2 linked regions of the Nothobranchius furzeri genome follow. The protein of the gene in region 1 binds, or shares a complex with, the protein of each later gene. Links are inferred from orthologs where the notes say so. Each region holds a gene or a part of one and is shown on either strand. Other genes may lie near its edges.

The links. The genes of interacting proteins can lie anywhere in the genome.
Region 2: strip1 (region 1) and programmed cell death protein 10-B share a complex: the UniProt entries of both Homo sapiens proteins name them as parts of the core of STRIPAK complex. The link is inferred for Nothobranchius furzeri from reciprocal best matches to the Homo sapiens genes STRIP1 and PDCD10.

What each region holds. Positions count from the first base shown.
Region 1 is NC_091743.1:46,751,519-46,758,988, reverse strand, and holds part of strip1 (striatin-interacting protein 1 homolog), read right to left. Parts: intron 6,464-7,470; coding exon 6,366-6,463; intron 5,145-6,365; coding exon 5,018-5,144; intron 4,934-5,017; coding exon 4,833-4,933; intron 4,746-4,832; coding exon 4,679-4,745; intron 3,641-4,678; coding exon 3,536-3,640; intron 3,417-3,535; coding exon 3,212-3,416; intron 73-3,211; coding exon 1-72. UniProt on the Homo sapiens protein: Plays a role in the regulation of cell morphology and cytoskeletal organization. Required in the cortical actin filament dynamics and cell shape. Part of the striatin-interacting phosphatase and kinase (STRIPAK) complexes.
Region 2 is NC_091758.1:24,839,123-24,847,382, reverse strand, and holds the start of programmed cell death protein 10-B, read left to right. Parts: upstream 1-2,750; 5' UTR 2,751-3,188; intron 3,189-4,495; 5' UTR 4,496-4,632; coding exon 4,633-4,722; intron 4,723-8,260. UniProt on the Homo sapiens protein: Promotes cell proliferation. Modulates apoptotic pathways. Increases mitogen-activated protein kinase activity and STK26 activity. Important for cell migration, and for normal structure and assembly of the Golgi complex.

The DNA.
Region 1 (7,470 bases):
TGTTGAAGCGTTCGATGCTGGCGCGGAGAGCGCACTCCTCAGCCTGGAAGTCCCAGGGACGAGCGTCCAGGTCTGCTCCAGCAAGCAGACGACAGGTCAACCCTAGTGGTCTGTTCTGATGTACACAAATCTAAAACTCTAACTTTATTTATAACATAATAAAACAAACAACTAGGTCTTCTTGTTTGTTTGAATACAATAAACAGCAAGTGACCAAGAAATAAAACCACACACCTAAAAACATTAAAGTTGTGTTTACAGATATGTAAAATAAAATGCAATGGAAGATTTAAAGGTGCATGATGTAAGAATCGAGTGAGAATGACAACCTGTTGTCTAATTTGGGTACTGCAGTCTAGTAATGTGCGGTATAAACACTGTAAGACATAACCAGTAAGATTTGGGCCTAAAATAAAGGATTGTTTACTAGCGGCTAACCGGTTGCATTTGCTGATGAGGAGCGAGACAGTTTAGCGCTTCACCCGCTTTTGCATTAATGTTGTGAATCTGCGTCAGCTCTGGACGAAACGCAGCAGCTGCTGCAGATCAGAGCGCGTGGATGATGGCGTGTTTGTAAAGAACACGGTTAACGTCGGTTACACAGACCTGGTTTGGATTTTAGATGGTGAGCCGAGAAACATCCTCAGTAAAATATGCCAGATGAGAGTAAAGTCGTATCAGCGTTAAAAGCTTGTAGACTACAAATCTTGTTAGTTTGCCATTAGTTTTGTAACATGAACTAGGGCTGGGCAACATGACCTAAAAACAACATCACAGTATATAGAGGATTTCACCTCGATAACGATAAATGGACGATAACTACAGATATGCGCAGAAACAAAAGTTGTCCACTAGATGGGGCTGTCACGTGTATTACGTTGTCACATTTTACAGCTTCTTAAAGGGACATGAACGTTGCCAACCTCCACACATCTTTTCATTGTTTTATTATCAAATTTACTGACACATCTCTGTCTGTCTGTCTGTGCTGGTGCACCCCACGGTGGGTCAGACTATCAAGGATCACCTGATCGGAGCGCAGTGAAACAATTCTTTGCCAGCACAGCAGAGGGCGTAGCACTTTTCTGAGGTATCCTGCCATCCCTGCAGTCACATCCCTTGTACGTTTATGCATTTCAGTCTTTTTAACACGGACACATTTGTCCCTCGTCAGACATGGCAACCCCGCTGATTCAGATTGTCTCTCTTTCATTTTTTCTAAAGGAGTACAACACACTAGAGCTGGGTGATATGGCCTCAAATCTATATTGCGATATAATCTGAAGCATGTGCGGTAACGATATACCGTAAATCCTCTAATATTAGCCTATATTTAATTAACTGCCGGGTATCATAGTTTGGCCGGTGTCGGCGGAGGTGGATAATGGCCGTTTTTTTATTGTGGCCGGGCGGAATGTGGTAACAAGCAAGTACGGGGGGCGGTTGTGTCATCCGTCTCACTTTTGATTTGCCAGTGATAGACCGCGAGGGTAACTTTAACCGTGCGGAGACGAAGAGGAGGCGAAAATTTGATATCAAGTTCAAAGAGAACGTGCTGATTATGCTGCAGAACACTGGGGAGCAGTAGGGGTTGTATGAACTAGTCGACTTCACTATAGTGACTTTTTATGCCTGTCATCGACTAGTCGCTGTCACGTGATAATGACCGGCAAGATGCAGTCCACGGAAAAGACAGCAGCCTGCTGTCAGCAGGTGACAAGCTCCTGCGCGTCGGGAGGCAACATGCTGTGCCAGAGCGTCGGTACTGACACCCACCGTAAAACGGACATTTAACCAAATTGTGACCTTTCCCCTCTTGCAATTTTACCTTCCCCTCACCCCCATCCTAACCTTAACCAGCTTGCGCATGCAACACTCTGATTGTTGACGCGCTCCAGACATCTGCGTCCTGAGCACGGCCACAGTAACATTATCACATCAGGTGTGGCCACCTCAAAAACTAATTTAACACGTGATCGTTCATGTCGGCTCATTTCCTTTTATGTTTTCTGTCTTTTATTTGTGCCTGATGCTTTTCGCTGCTGTGGATCAGGGCGCATCACCTGTTTTGTCCTCGGTGACGCACCTAACTGATGTGGCCGGCGAGCACTCCGCTGTTTTTGCGATCGGTAGATCTTTTAGAACTGCAGTTCAAAGGTAACTCATAAGTGAATATATATGAACCCAGGTAGCAGTTTCTCTTTAGGATTGAGAGGAGATGCAGGAAGATAATCAACAGGCAGGACAGAAAAATAGTCAAATAAAAGCAAGTTAGTTTTTGTACCTGGTGGTTGCAACAAACAGACACCATTGAAGGTAATCAGAAGTGAGGAACAGAAAATGAAATAATTATTTTAATGTTTAGAGCAGCAGGAACTCTGAGAGGCTGCAGGCGTATCAGTGAGATTGCGGCCGCTGCGCAGGGAGAGGGGGGAGATGGCTGAAGCAGAAAATACCGTTGTTAAAAGAAATGTGTTTAACTTTGAAAATGTGGGCGCAATTTTAATTGTCAAAAACTCCAGCGAACCATTAGTTCATTTTGCTCAAATAGAAATAGAGGCCTGCCTCTAATTCTGGCCCTCCTTCCAATAAAGGCGTGGAACTTGATGAGCTTGAGTCAAATACAGGCCCGGGCCTGTATTAGAGGATTTACGGTATATTGCGATATATTTTTTTCCTCTGTTCATATATGTCAAAATGACATGCTTTTAAATATCCTCATGTGGCAAATATATGCCACTTGAGGCATATAGGCCTCCTCCTCCACCCACTCCATGCTTGCAGTCACTGCCATTCTGTTTCCCCAATGTCAGCAGGGTGCACATCTTAATGACGCCATGAGTTATTGCGATATACCAAAAAACTCTATCATTACCCAATTTTATATCGTTTCTACCTTATATCGTTTATATTGCCCACCCCTACAACAGACAACCCTCCATGAGAAGGAAATGTGTTTTAAGACAACCTTCCTTCTAACACGACTTGGACGTTAGACTGTTTCATGATTGTTTCACTATAAGTTTATTACTTAGTGTACCTTGAAAAGCATTTTATTTACATAAATCTCCTGTAAAATGAGAGCAAAATAAAAACGTGAAACTATAATTTAAATACGGACTGAACTAAGAAGAGCTTTTGAATTGTTTTGTAAATAAAAGTCAGACCCATCCATCCAGAGCAGGAGGACGAGGCTTTGGGTTTCACTCACCGTTTCCATATGCCCAGTCGTCGTTGAGTCTGTGTCGGACTTTCTGATAAATAGCAGACATGGTTTTCATGTTGCTCTTCCTCCACTGCCGGCCTAAGTATTTGGTCTGAACTTTGAGCAGCTTGAGGACATAGAGCTGCATCATGGCCTGCTTCACCTTCAGCGCCCTCTTCAGGATGGGAGCTGACTTAAACACGACCAGCATCTGGTGGAGAGAAGCAGATTACTAACACACACATGCACACATACACACACACACATGCACACATACACACACACACATGTGTCATGGGTTTTAACAGTTTCCACATGTACTTCTCTCACCATGGTTCTGGAGTGTTTCCATTTGGTCAGTTTGTTCAGGATCCTCAGCAGGTTGATACACGAGAACAGATTCCTCCAGCAGAACTGAGTGTTGTCTCCAGCTTCCTGCAACCCAGAGATCATTCAAAGGGGGAAAAAAATCTGAAACTACACAAAAGAGTTTTTAACCCTTGAAGCTATTGTGTTCAAACTAGTTTCAGTGGTTCTTGAGCCAGAAACTTCAGCGGTTTCACAGTGGACAGCACTCTACTGCCCAGAAACTGTGCAACATTTTGTGGTTCAGGTAAGAACACTAGTGGGAAATATTGACCTGCTTTATGCAAAAGCCGTTTATTAGGCTGGTAGCAAATACGATGGTTAGCTTTTTCAGTTTGCTGATCGTCAATAAAAAGCAGAAGTTGGGTTATTTTTGGTTGGAAGCACGTACAGTGCATACAAATGTTGCACTGTACGTGCTTCTCTTTTATCTCTGTAAAATAGATTATACATACGTTGTCGGCTTGCCGTGTCTTGTTTTTTCCGTTTTTTTTTTATTTTTACGAATCGACTAATCATGGCAGCACTAAACCAGAGTGAACATCAGCCCGACCTACACTTGTTTAACGGAGCTGAAGGAGGCTTTGAAATCACAGACTGATGGTGACCTGGCTTTGTTTCTGTTAGACTTGTAAAGATTTTTTTTTGTCAAACAGTGAAGATATTTCTACTTAATGGCATATTTTAGTATCAATAGCATATTCTACAGTAGCCAAAAATAGATCGACATAATGTTGCTATGCATTTTGGGATTTAGCCCTAGACAAGCAAGTGTGTATTTCGCATGGGTGCCTATGAATCAGAATCACTCTGGTCATCTCAAAGTTGCAGTTTCATCTCCTAAATACGTTCAAACAGGAAGGAACTAAGCACCGCTGTTGCATGCTTTGTTTGCATAGCATTAGCGCCCAGCTGCACTTATGCTGTGACACCAACTGCAGAATATGCTATTGGCTCATGCTAGCGGTAGCTTATTGTTAGCACCAACTACAGCAGGCAATGGCGGGGTTGTTTAGGACAGTTGTAGTTCTTTCAACCAGCAGGAGGGATGAGTGGGAAACGTATGAAGTGTTGCTTGAAGGCTACACGATGAGTCAGAAAACTCACCAAACTCTCTGCGGTCAGCTCAGGGAGCTCATGCACCACGCAGTGGGGGAAATCAAGTACAGAGATGCTGTTGAAGAGACAACCGTTCAGTTACGTCCACCATTACCAGGAAGTTATTACGACTACAAAACTAAAAATAAAAGCATGACAGCACCTGTTCTTAGCTGTGATGTAAGACATTATGTTCTGGTTGAAAAACTTCAGGATGAGTGGGATACAGTTGGCAAACACCAGGTGCTGAGCCATGTACTCAAACTACAAACACACACACGCTTAGTTAAGGTGGATTTGCCTCCGATGAAATACTTTCTCATCAATAAAGCACAGGAGGTGTTTCACCTGGTAGATGTGGTTCAGCTTGAAGTGCTTCAGCAGCAGCAGAAGGATGGCAGAAATGGCTTTAACAATGATTTCTTTGTGCCGGTTGACGTCGACACCCAGCTTCATGCTCTGTAGGACCGTCGTCCTGCAGGGGGAGACAGGAGACCAGATCCTCTCGGAATAAAAATCAAGCTCCTCCCACTTACATCCTCACTGTCTGTTACAGACTTTTTCTGGATATAAACAGTTTTTGCAGAGTTTTCTTTTCAAAATAAAACTGTTTTAGATAGTATGCTGGTCTTCAGTAAACCTAGGAGGTTCGAATGAAGGAAACTGGACTTCTTTGGTTCTTTGAAAACCTTTTGCTTTTTTCCACTTAGAACTGACAAAAATCTTGGGATGAGAAGCGAAACGTCTTCAAGGACCCAAAGAGTCCGAATAACTTTACCAATCACTCAGGAGGGTTCCTCTGGGGGTTTCCAGGAGTAGTGCATTGATAGAAAAAGGGGATAACAATAAAATGAATATATTTTTAAAAGGTATAAAAAGGTAATTTATCAGCATTATCTAAAGGTGTGGAACACTGAAAAGCCATTTTTTAATGATTATAATCAGTCACTTTGAGTTTCTCATGCAGCTTGAACATGAAAATAGTCTCCTACACATAGGGATGGATACCAAATTCGGTACTTCTTAAGGCACCGACCGAATTCAGTAGTACTGACTTAGTACCGATTCACTTTCATTTTTCAGTTTCATTTGTAGTTTCTAATACATGGTGTCCTCATCAGTTATTCCAGAGGGGAAAGGAGAGGATTAGGAGTACATGGAGCTGGGTTTGTTTTTGCATCATTTAGAAACAGTTGTTGTTAAAGGTTTTCATATTGAAGAATTTTGTACAACACTACGATGATAAAATACAAACAGTTGTATGTTATTTATCATGATATTAATCAAATATGGTTAAATATTGGGAAAATAGTATATATTTAATTAAAAAAGCAATTTGAATAGTTATTAAACACTCAAAAGTATCGAAAATTGATATTGTTAAGTACCGGTATCGATTCGTAGGTACCGGGAATTGGTACCATATCGATTCAAATGTCAAAGGTACCCATCCCTACCTACACCTATCTCCTGCATTAGCTTCTGATGGAAAATAGACAATGAGACTCTAGGATTTGAAAATAATGCTGTCAGGTTGTGTTATGCTATTTTATTCCTGCACCTCCTGTTCCAACACCCCCACCCCAGCAAGGTGTTCAGATGTTTGATGGCATGAGGGACAAAGTAGTTTCTAAGACTGGTCTGGGTTTGATGAGAACAACCGTTTTAGACATTAGTCAGTAAATTTTCCACTCACGGCATCTCCTCTGGCAGCACGTCTGCTAGGATGTTAATGGAGTCCGTTTTGGCTTTAGATGTGGGAGCAGCAGCCAGAAGGATCTTCAGCAGTGCAATCTAACATTTAGATAACAGAAAACATCATCTAATCATCTATTTAAGCTCGTTTAACTTAATCACACACACACGCACACACACTTCTTTGTTTACATTCAACTTTTCTACATTTTATTTTGTAGTATTTTACCTTTATTTATTACTTGTTTCTTCTAAATATTTATTTCAAGAAAAGTGTGTTCATTTTTTTAAAAGTTCAAAAGAACAACCCCCCAGGGGGAAATGAAAAATGTAGACCAGACAAAAGCGCAGGTCTCAGGATCTTAAATGTCAAACTCAAGTCGAAATAAATCGTATGCGTTTCCTAACTAATCCTACAGAAAGTATTAAAGTGATGTCATTGCCTAATCTTATAATTGTAGCTGATGTTTGGACTGGCTGCATTTCAGGTTCCTTCATATAGCTAATATAATTACCGTATTTTCTGGACTATAAGTCGCACTTTTTTTCATAGTCTGGCTGGTCCTGCGACTTATATACCAAAGTGACTTATATACCAAATTATGTATACCGCGGGCCGGCTCCGGACCAGGAATGAGCTCCCTTGCCCGCCATCACCTGCTGGAGACCGTGGCACGCTGCTGCAGGCCGGCTCCGGTCCAGGTTTCAGCTCCTCTGCCCCGCTGGGAGGGTTTCAAACACCGCCATCACCTGCTGCAGCCTGTGGCGGGGTGCTGCAGGTGCTTTCCCCACCCGCTGGGAGAGTTTGAAACACCGCCATCCTCTGCTGGAGACCGTGGCGCGCTGCTGCGCCCTGGTTGTTTATTCTGTTATTGTTACTTGTACTTGTCTTAAATGTGAAATGCTTGGTCTCAGACTTTGTAAAAAATAAAAAATTTAAAAAAAATTCCCCCCAAAATGTGACTCATAGTACAGTGCGACTTATATATGTTTTTTTCTTCTTCATTATACATTTTGTGGCTGGTACGACTTATACTCCGGAAAATACGGTACTCATTTCAGGAGATTCTTAATCTATTCTAGTTCGACACAGGTTGTGTGTGATG
Region 2 (8,260 bases), on another chromosome or scaffold:
CGGATGACTTCTCTTGGGTCAGTTTCACACCGTTACAGGCTAATCGTCACGTCCCACCGCTTTATGAAGCCTGCGGGAAGCAGACAAAGGACGCCGCGTGGCAGCAACAGCCAATGGCAGCGCGTCGTTCCACTCCAGCATCGTCGGAGAGGAGGGACCACTGCGCAGCGAAACTAATCCGTTCTAGATGTTTCAGTACATAAAAAAATAGAAAAATCTTCCATCAACGTTTTATTTGTAGATATTTCCAGATTTGCAAAATACAAAGTGTCTGTGATAAATGTGTTTACCATGTAACCCAATTCGACCGATCTTTGACTTTTACGCAGCATTTCCCTTTTAATCAGCATGGCAAATAGTTATATAAAAATATTATTTAGGTGGTCGTTTTGCTTTTTGAAACTAGATCAGTCAACTAGATCAGTCATGGGTGCACAATAAAACCTGAACAGCTATCGTGGAGGTCAGAGATTCAATTGCGAATGGATAATAACATGTCACATTAACAAACTAATTTACATTTATTAATTAGTTTCAGTGCAAATGAGTGGTAAAATCGAAGTTAATTATTGATTTAATTAAGATGTTGCATGCATAACAGCAGTATGCATAACAACAGTGATTCTCATCCTAGAGTGGAAAATTCCAGCGTCTGCTGTCTTTGTCCTTTCAACCCGACTTCCAAAGTTGTCGCTTTTTAAAGGAGAACACTGTTTTTGAACGTTTTGAGACCAAAACTACTTATTTTGCTGCATTTCTTCAATTTCTTTGAGTCTTGTTTCTTTTGTTTATTCTAAAAAAATACGATGTTTGTTTATATGCTTTAGAGGAGTGTTCTAGTAAAACTGTGTTCTGAGTCCCCCCCCCCCCCCCTATTTCTGACAAGCATTAAAGACGTTTTACATTTTACATCTTTCTGGGTGTTGTGTTCAGCCAATCATATCGCCCTCAAGATAAAACCTTACTGGGGTTTTACTCAGACATAAATAAATAAGGCATCTACTTTCATCTGTTGCTATAAAGTGGAGTCAAACGGTCCTGTTTCAAGGTTGGATGTGGGGCTAAAACTGCCCATACACAATCATTGTGTTTTTAAAACATGACGTTTCTATTTTGCAAAATAAGTTTAAAGAAAAAATAAATAAATAAACATACAAGCATGCAGCAGAAAGGTTTGTAAAGAGTGAGGGGGCATTTGGGCTTCAGTTTCGTCCTTATGTCCCTGTCTATGGATTGGACATTAATAATTTACTTTTACAATTTTTGTGTTTATTTAATGTAAACTTCAAGCATAGGAAGATTGATGCCTATCCTGCTGGTTAGGATAGCATCATTTTGTTTCTAATGAATTAAAGACAAGTATTCTGTCTCCAGAGAAAAATGTGCTCTGAGGTCATATGTACCTGCAGGCTTCAGAAACCTGGAGCCTGACCTCACATTTCAGTGTGTCACTGTCCACAGCCTTTTACATTCCTTTAAAACAAGATAAGTAAGAGATTCAAGATATTTTTTTAACCAACACAAAATTACATAAGAAGATATTGGCCTGGCCAGCCAGCCCCACGCTTCCCTATGCTTCCTTATAGTTCTCTGTGTAGAATTACACAGTGAACAAGTCTGGCAGGCCAGGCTAGGGATAAACGTGACATAATGGGAATGGCCTGCTGGAATTTACAACAGCTTTTAACAAAACATGAAAAACTGATATGCATCTTGCTAATGTATTTTTTTAAACTTCCATTCAGTCTATAACTGAAACCAAACAAGACTGAACAGAAGAAGCATTATTTGCATTCATTGAAACTTTAACATTGGGTGTTTCGGTTTTAAAAAAATGTCATTGGTGCATGCATAAAGTTGGCTATTTTTCATTCAGAATAGAAACAAATTCGTTCTTGAAAATAAATGCATCGTCATGATGTGAGGGTGGAGATGGTGGACCAAGTGTGGTGGAGGGTTCCAGGAGGCAGAAGAGCAGGCACGGATGAAATAAAAATGGTTTAATTGTAGAATGGGAGAGACGGACAAAACAAACATGAACAAACAACAATGATCCGATGAAGACAGCAACAAGGAGGGAGGTATAAATACACAGGGAAATCAGGAACACATGGGCAGAGTAATGAGGGACAGGTGAGAACAATAAGGTTAATCAAGGCAGGAGAGACACAGTCAGGGAGGCCGGGGCGGATCATGACATGCATAGGAGATGAGATATTTACATTTTTGCACAAAACTCAAAAATTAATGTTTTTTTTAACATTAATGTAATCCAGCGGATTCAGCCTTTTACTATATTGCAAATATTTCAGCAAAATCTCATATTATTAACCCTTTGATGCATGAATTATGCAATCTTCAACCATGAATTTTTTTCCATGAATTTCATTCATCTTTAGGTGTGAATGAAACAAATTTCAACAAATATTTTTTGAAACATTTAATAATTTACAAATGGATTATTACACGTCCACCTCAGTGGACAGCGTGCATTCTGAACATGAAATATGTTGGCTTGACTTACTGAAGTCCAAATGGAGGGGCTCAAATACAATAAAGTCTTCAACAGCTGTGCTTAATGCAAAAACAAACAAACAAACAAACAAACAAATAAATAAACAAGCAAAAAAAAAACTATTTTGAGTACCTGTCCACTGTAGTGACCATTATGCATCAAAGGGCAATGTAGCTATCCCTTCCTTCAAATGATCTAATCAGTACTGTATTTCTTCTGGCAGTCCTTTTAAAAGGTATTGTCATTAGAATGTGTTACTGTAATAAGAAAAAACACTGATTAAAAACATTTTCATGTATATATGTGACCTCTGTTGTCTCTTTTGACCTTTATATTTGCTGCTATGTAGAAAATTGGAGAGCCATGTTTTTCTTAATACAACTAAAAGCTTTTATTTTCTCATAAACAAATCTTAATTAAACACAGAACAACTGTAATGTGCCTACGTAAAGCTACGTTTTCATCATACTTACTTAAATAGGCTACCGGCTTACGTCACGGTTACTTTAGCCTCCCCGCTCTCTGATTGGACAACGTGTGTTTACGTAGCAACGGTCCGGAAGATGTCGCTCGGGCCAGTCCTAAAAAACTTCCGCCTTAAGTTGTAAAGAAAACACAGCAGCTAAAAGCCAATCGACGGGAAAATCATCTTATTTAAGAAGTCAGCCCAAAGGTAGATACGAGTACGCCTTTAGGACGCACACATAAATGCACGTATCCGTCATGAAGCAGTTTGTTGACGTGTTTTAGCGCGTTTGTAAAGACAACCCTACACATTACTTGAGCTAGCACGGAAGCTAACGCTGTTCACTGCTACCATCGATCTAGTCGGCTAGAGGCCTCGAGTGAATATTATAAAACCGCGTAAAGTATGTAATGTTACACAGACACTTGTTAATTGATTGTAGTACCCCGATATCACAAATAAATCGGGTTACTCTGTTTTACCCAACACCGTTTAGTTTTCCGTTCCATACTTCTACTAGCTTGTAGCATTACCTTAGGCTATCATTTGATTTGTTTAGCTTTCCAGTAAACCAGCAGTCACTTCAGACACTCCATTAAAAAAAATAATATGTGTCATTTTCTCCATAACAAACCTGGACAATCACAAATACACAACATGCTGAAAATACATCAAATTCGTATGATTTACATTCAGCTCTCCTAATCTATTCTGTCAAGTATTTGTCAGTTTTAACTCATTTGCCTACGATGCTATAGTGTGTCCAAATAGTCCCTGTTGTTCAGAGTGAAGTTGTTGTGTAGACATTTAATCCGTGCTGCCATACATAAAACGTATGATTGTACCACTCCCCTCCTTCAGATTAAACCAGAATACAAAGGATCACTTCCTCATTATTAACCAGAACAGGATAGATTAGGCGGTCAGTACTGGTGAGTGTAAAGATGTATGTGAGGGTGTGTAATGACATGTTTGTGATAAACTGACATGATTTAATTTTATGGATGTTCTAATCGTACATGTTGATTGCTAATCATAAAAATAATTGATTTAAGATTATTATTGATTTTCATTCATAATCTTGTTATTGAACAATCACATCATTAGAAAGAGCATATTTAGATTGTATTTTTTTAAAGCCTGGTTTATCTGCAGCTTCTTTTGCAAATGTTTTGTGTTCTATTATAATGAAATTTATCTGGGTGAGGAAGTAGTGCTTATTTTTGTGTTTGAATAAGATAAATAGTCAGGGCAGTCGATTTTCAAGATTGTTGCAAAATCATGTGACATATCCAGTTCTTATTCAAATTTAAACGTCTAACTACAATTATCAGGGATGTGTGATCATCCAAACCCATGTTTAAACCGAACTGTGACAGATTAACTACTGTGATTTAATTCAGTCACATTGTAACTGATGCATGTTCTGCATTCCATCAACGTAAAAAGAAAATATGAGCAGATATAACTTCATTCATTTCCCAAAAATGTCCTTTTTCTATTTTATTTTTCAGGCTCTTATCTCTGGAACTTGCTTGGTTTCTGAGTGTGTGTGTGTGCGTGTGTGTGTGTGTGTGAGAGAGAGAGTGAGTGTGGCTGAGGAGCAGTTTCCTCTTCATCATTTTGACAAGAGCTACTCCTCCACTGGAGGATGACAATGGAGGAGATGAAGAATGAAGCGGAGACAAACTCCATGGTATCCATGACGCTTTACGCTGTGATGTATCCCGTTTTTAAGGAGGTAAGCCTTCCAATGTCAAATATGTTGCTTTATTTAATAAAAAAAAACGAATATGATGAGTGACAGAATTTAAGGTTAATGTATCAGAACAATGTGGGCACACCTGAAACAATTAGATTATTATGAAGCAGTGTAATATATTTTGTCACTCATTTCAGAAAGCGAAGCACCTAAATAGTCATTTCACATAAAATGAACCATTTCAAGCCTATAGTTCTTGTAATTTTGATTATTGTCTCATACAGATAATAGAAACCTATATTTCAATGTCTCCAAAAATGTGAATATTGCATAAATATTACACCACTTTTGGCAGGAAATGTCATTTGTTCTTTATCACATCAAGTCAATATGAGTGTACCCGTCGTCTAATTCCTACTGAAATGTAACCTTGCACTGCAAGATGAATCCTCGCGAGATTTGGAGTTTTCCAAACTCAGGAGAATCCATCTTGTACCGTTCCAGTTCAAACCGTCCGACCTCCGGCCTAAAATAGGCCGGACCAATCGTGTGTCAGCACTACGGCTGAATAATTAATTGCATATGCAATTAAATTGCGATGTGACAAAAGGAGATTTTCTAATCGCAAAGGCTGCGATTTGACTGGCAGCAAGTGGTTAGCGCAATGCTAATATACATAGAAAAGCCCATAGGGATGCTAATGCTAATATTGCAGATTACATTCTTACAAATTATGGCTTAGGAACGTGCCAAATATTTACATTTGGACACTAATAAAAAAGTAAAAACTGCCATTAATCAAATAAGTACAGACAGATATTTTAGTAAAGCTCAAAAAACTGTAAGAGACTTAAACTCCACAGAGTTTTGGCTAGCAGCTATGAACGTAGCTGAACTATGGAAGCTCTGCATGGACCAGACGTCAAAAACTGTAAACACAAAAGACCAATAAATGGGACACACTTCTTTCCTACAAATCAATTTTCACAGTTGATGCTAATACCTATGCTCCTACAAGGGATGTGCTCCTGGCTGCAAAGCATCGCAACTTCAAATGCAAAATGTTGTTGTTACTTGTTAGTATTTATGTAGACAAATAAACTTGTTGATATGATATGTAGATATATATGTAGATACATAAACTTGTTCATATTCAGTGCAAGTTACATAGGGTTTTTTTTGCTTCTGTTGAAAAATATGAGAAAAGCCCCTTGAGAAAATAATTGTGAATTAAATCGCTATTGCAATATAGAAAAAAAATCACAATTAGATTATTTTCCTAAATCGTTCATCCCTAGTCAGTACTGTGCTGTAGGGTGGGACTTAAGTTTGGTTTAAGCTTGACGCGTCCGCGAGGTCCGCACGGCCCCACGCGGTGAAATTGCATCATTTTAACAACCACGCCCCTCCACCGCGCCTCCGCACGGCCTAAAATTTCCGCACCGCGCACCAAGGAAATTTTCTAACCACGCGGTCGGTCGGATGCGGAAAAACATGGCGGACCGGCAAGAACTAGTTATGGCAGAGGTTCGTAAATACAGACATTTGTACGATTCAGCTCTCAAAGATCACCGTGATAAACATGTTGTTAATAATTCTTGGAGAGAAATAGCTCGCACTGTCAGAAAAGATGAGGACACTGTTAAAAAATGCTGGAATGCCATGTTTTAAACAACAGTAATTTTTACTTCTACTATGGTGTAGTGTTGGATGCATGCCGTAGAGCTCCATGTTGCCCCCTACAGTTTGGGAGAATATTGGCTCACCGCAGAGACATGCCGCATGAACCATAAACGCTGCGAGTTGTGAAGCGCGTTCCATCCGCAAGCTGCATCACCAAGCGGAAAGTGAATGCGTCAAGCATAAACCAAGCTTTAGTTTTGACGATAGAATCAAGCGCTCGGCTTAGCAAAACAAACACAGCGTCGGTTGACGCTAACAGCAAACATTAATCACAACGGCAACGTGGTGTCCACGGCTAAAAATGGTTGCGGTCGGACGTCTTTAATTTGTTAAAACAAATGTAACAGAAAATTCCCTTAAAATCCATTTAGATATAATTGTACATGTCTACAGTTACATGTATAAATGTTATTTTGACAACTAGATACGTGTAGTTCAACATAGAGCATGTTGTGAATCAGTTGTAAGTGTACATCCACTAGGTGACTTCATGTACGTGTCAAAGCGAATGTCCACTAATGATATTCTATTACAGTAATGGTATTTATTAGATTTTTTTACAGTAATAAACAGCCTAAATTTTAATTATTAAACGTCCAAATGATACTGACTGAAACACGCTTATGTCACGGCCAGAAAAGATGTAGAGTCAACTTTGTAACGGAATGGAATAACTAATTTTGGAACTATGATGGAATGTTCGAATAACATAACCGTGTGGCTGTAAACATCCCAGAAAACTTGATAAGCTTCGCGGGCCGGATAGTGAGAGGGGGGGGGTCGGGGGTTGCTACAGTTTCTCGTTGGTATCAGCAGAGGGGAGGCTTGCGGTTTGTTTCACTGCCGTCTGTTGTCCGTGTAAGTGGAGAAGTTAGGGCTGGGAAGAGGGGGTGGAGACAATGCATAGCCTGGCTGGGGAAACACTGCCCTTTGTGCACACATTCTTCTTGCAAAACCGGCAGAAATCACTCAAAGACAGGGTAACTGCTGCGTGAGTGAATGAATGAAGCTTGAGCAAGTTGTTGTTTTCCAGGCACGCATGGTAAATTCGTCATTTGAGCTGTTACTGTGATTGGCTAAGGACAAAATATGGTAACGCATCCTCCAATCAGCTCTAAATATTCTACCACATAGCCCTCCCTCTTTCAGACGGTTTCTGCGGCAGAGATTCCAGATCGAAACGTGTAGACTCGACACGGGGCGAGGCAACACATAGAGATCTGGCTGTTGCCAGGCTAACTGAAATTAGCTGGTTGCAGGAAACCCGAGTGATCAAAAGCTGCAGGTTCACTGTGATTACATTGTGGTGGGTCGACCGATTAAACATGGGCCGACCCGCTTATAGGTCCGTTATAGGGAGTCTAAATTGGATGATCAGCCAGTCATCATCATGGTTGGACATAAGGCATGGCATGTTTTTCGTATCAGTCATACTGGTTTTAAGATATTTATTTTTATTTTTTTCATACAGGACTGTTGTTATCCACATTATCTTCTGAAAAGAAAAGAATTACTGCAGTTGATTGGCTTTAAAAAGCTTATTTTACTGTCATATGAACTGCATCATTTTGTTTTTTTCCATGTCTATATGGTAAAGACATAATCCCTTGAATATTTGGTCTGTCATTTCCTCCTGTTTCGACTGCATGGCGGATGCGCCGTGCTGCTGAAATGTTTACGCTTCAGCAGGACATAGCTGGGATCCAAAGTTTTCACCATCATCTTGAAGCTGCCTTTCTCTACTGCTGGGATATTCAGTTCTAGGCCTGGAGAGCTGGTGTCCAGCCTGTTTTTGTGGTTTCTCTGCTCCAGCATACTTGATTTAGTGCTTGAATCACCTGCACAGCAGCTTATCAGGCTCTGCAGAAGCCTGTTAATTACCTGCTGACTGAAA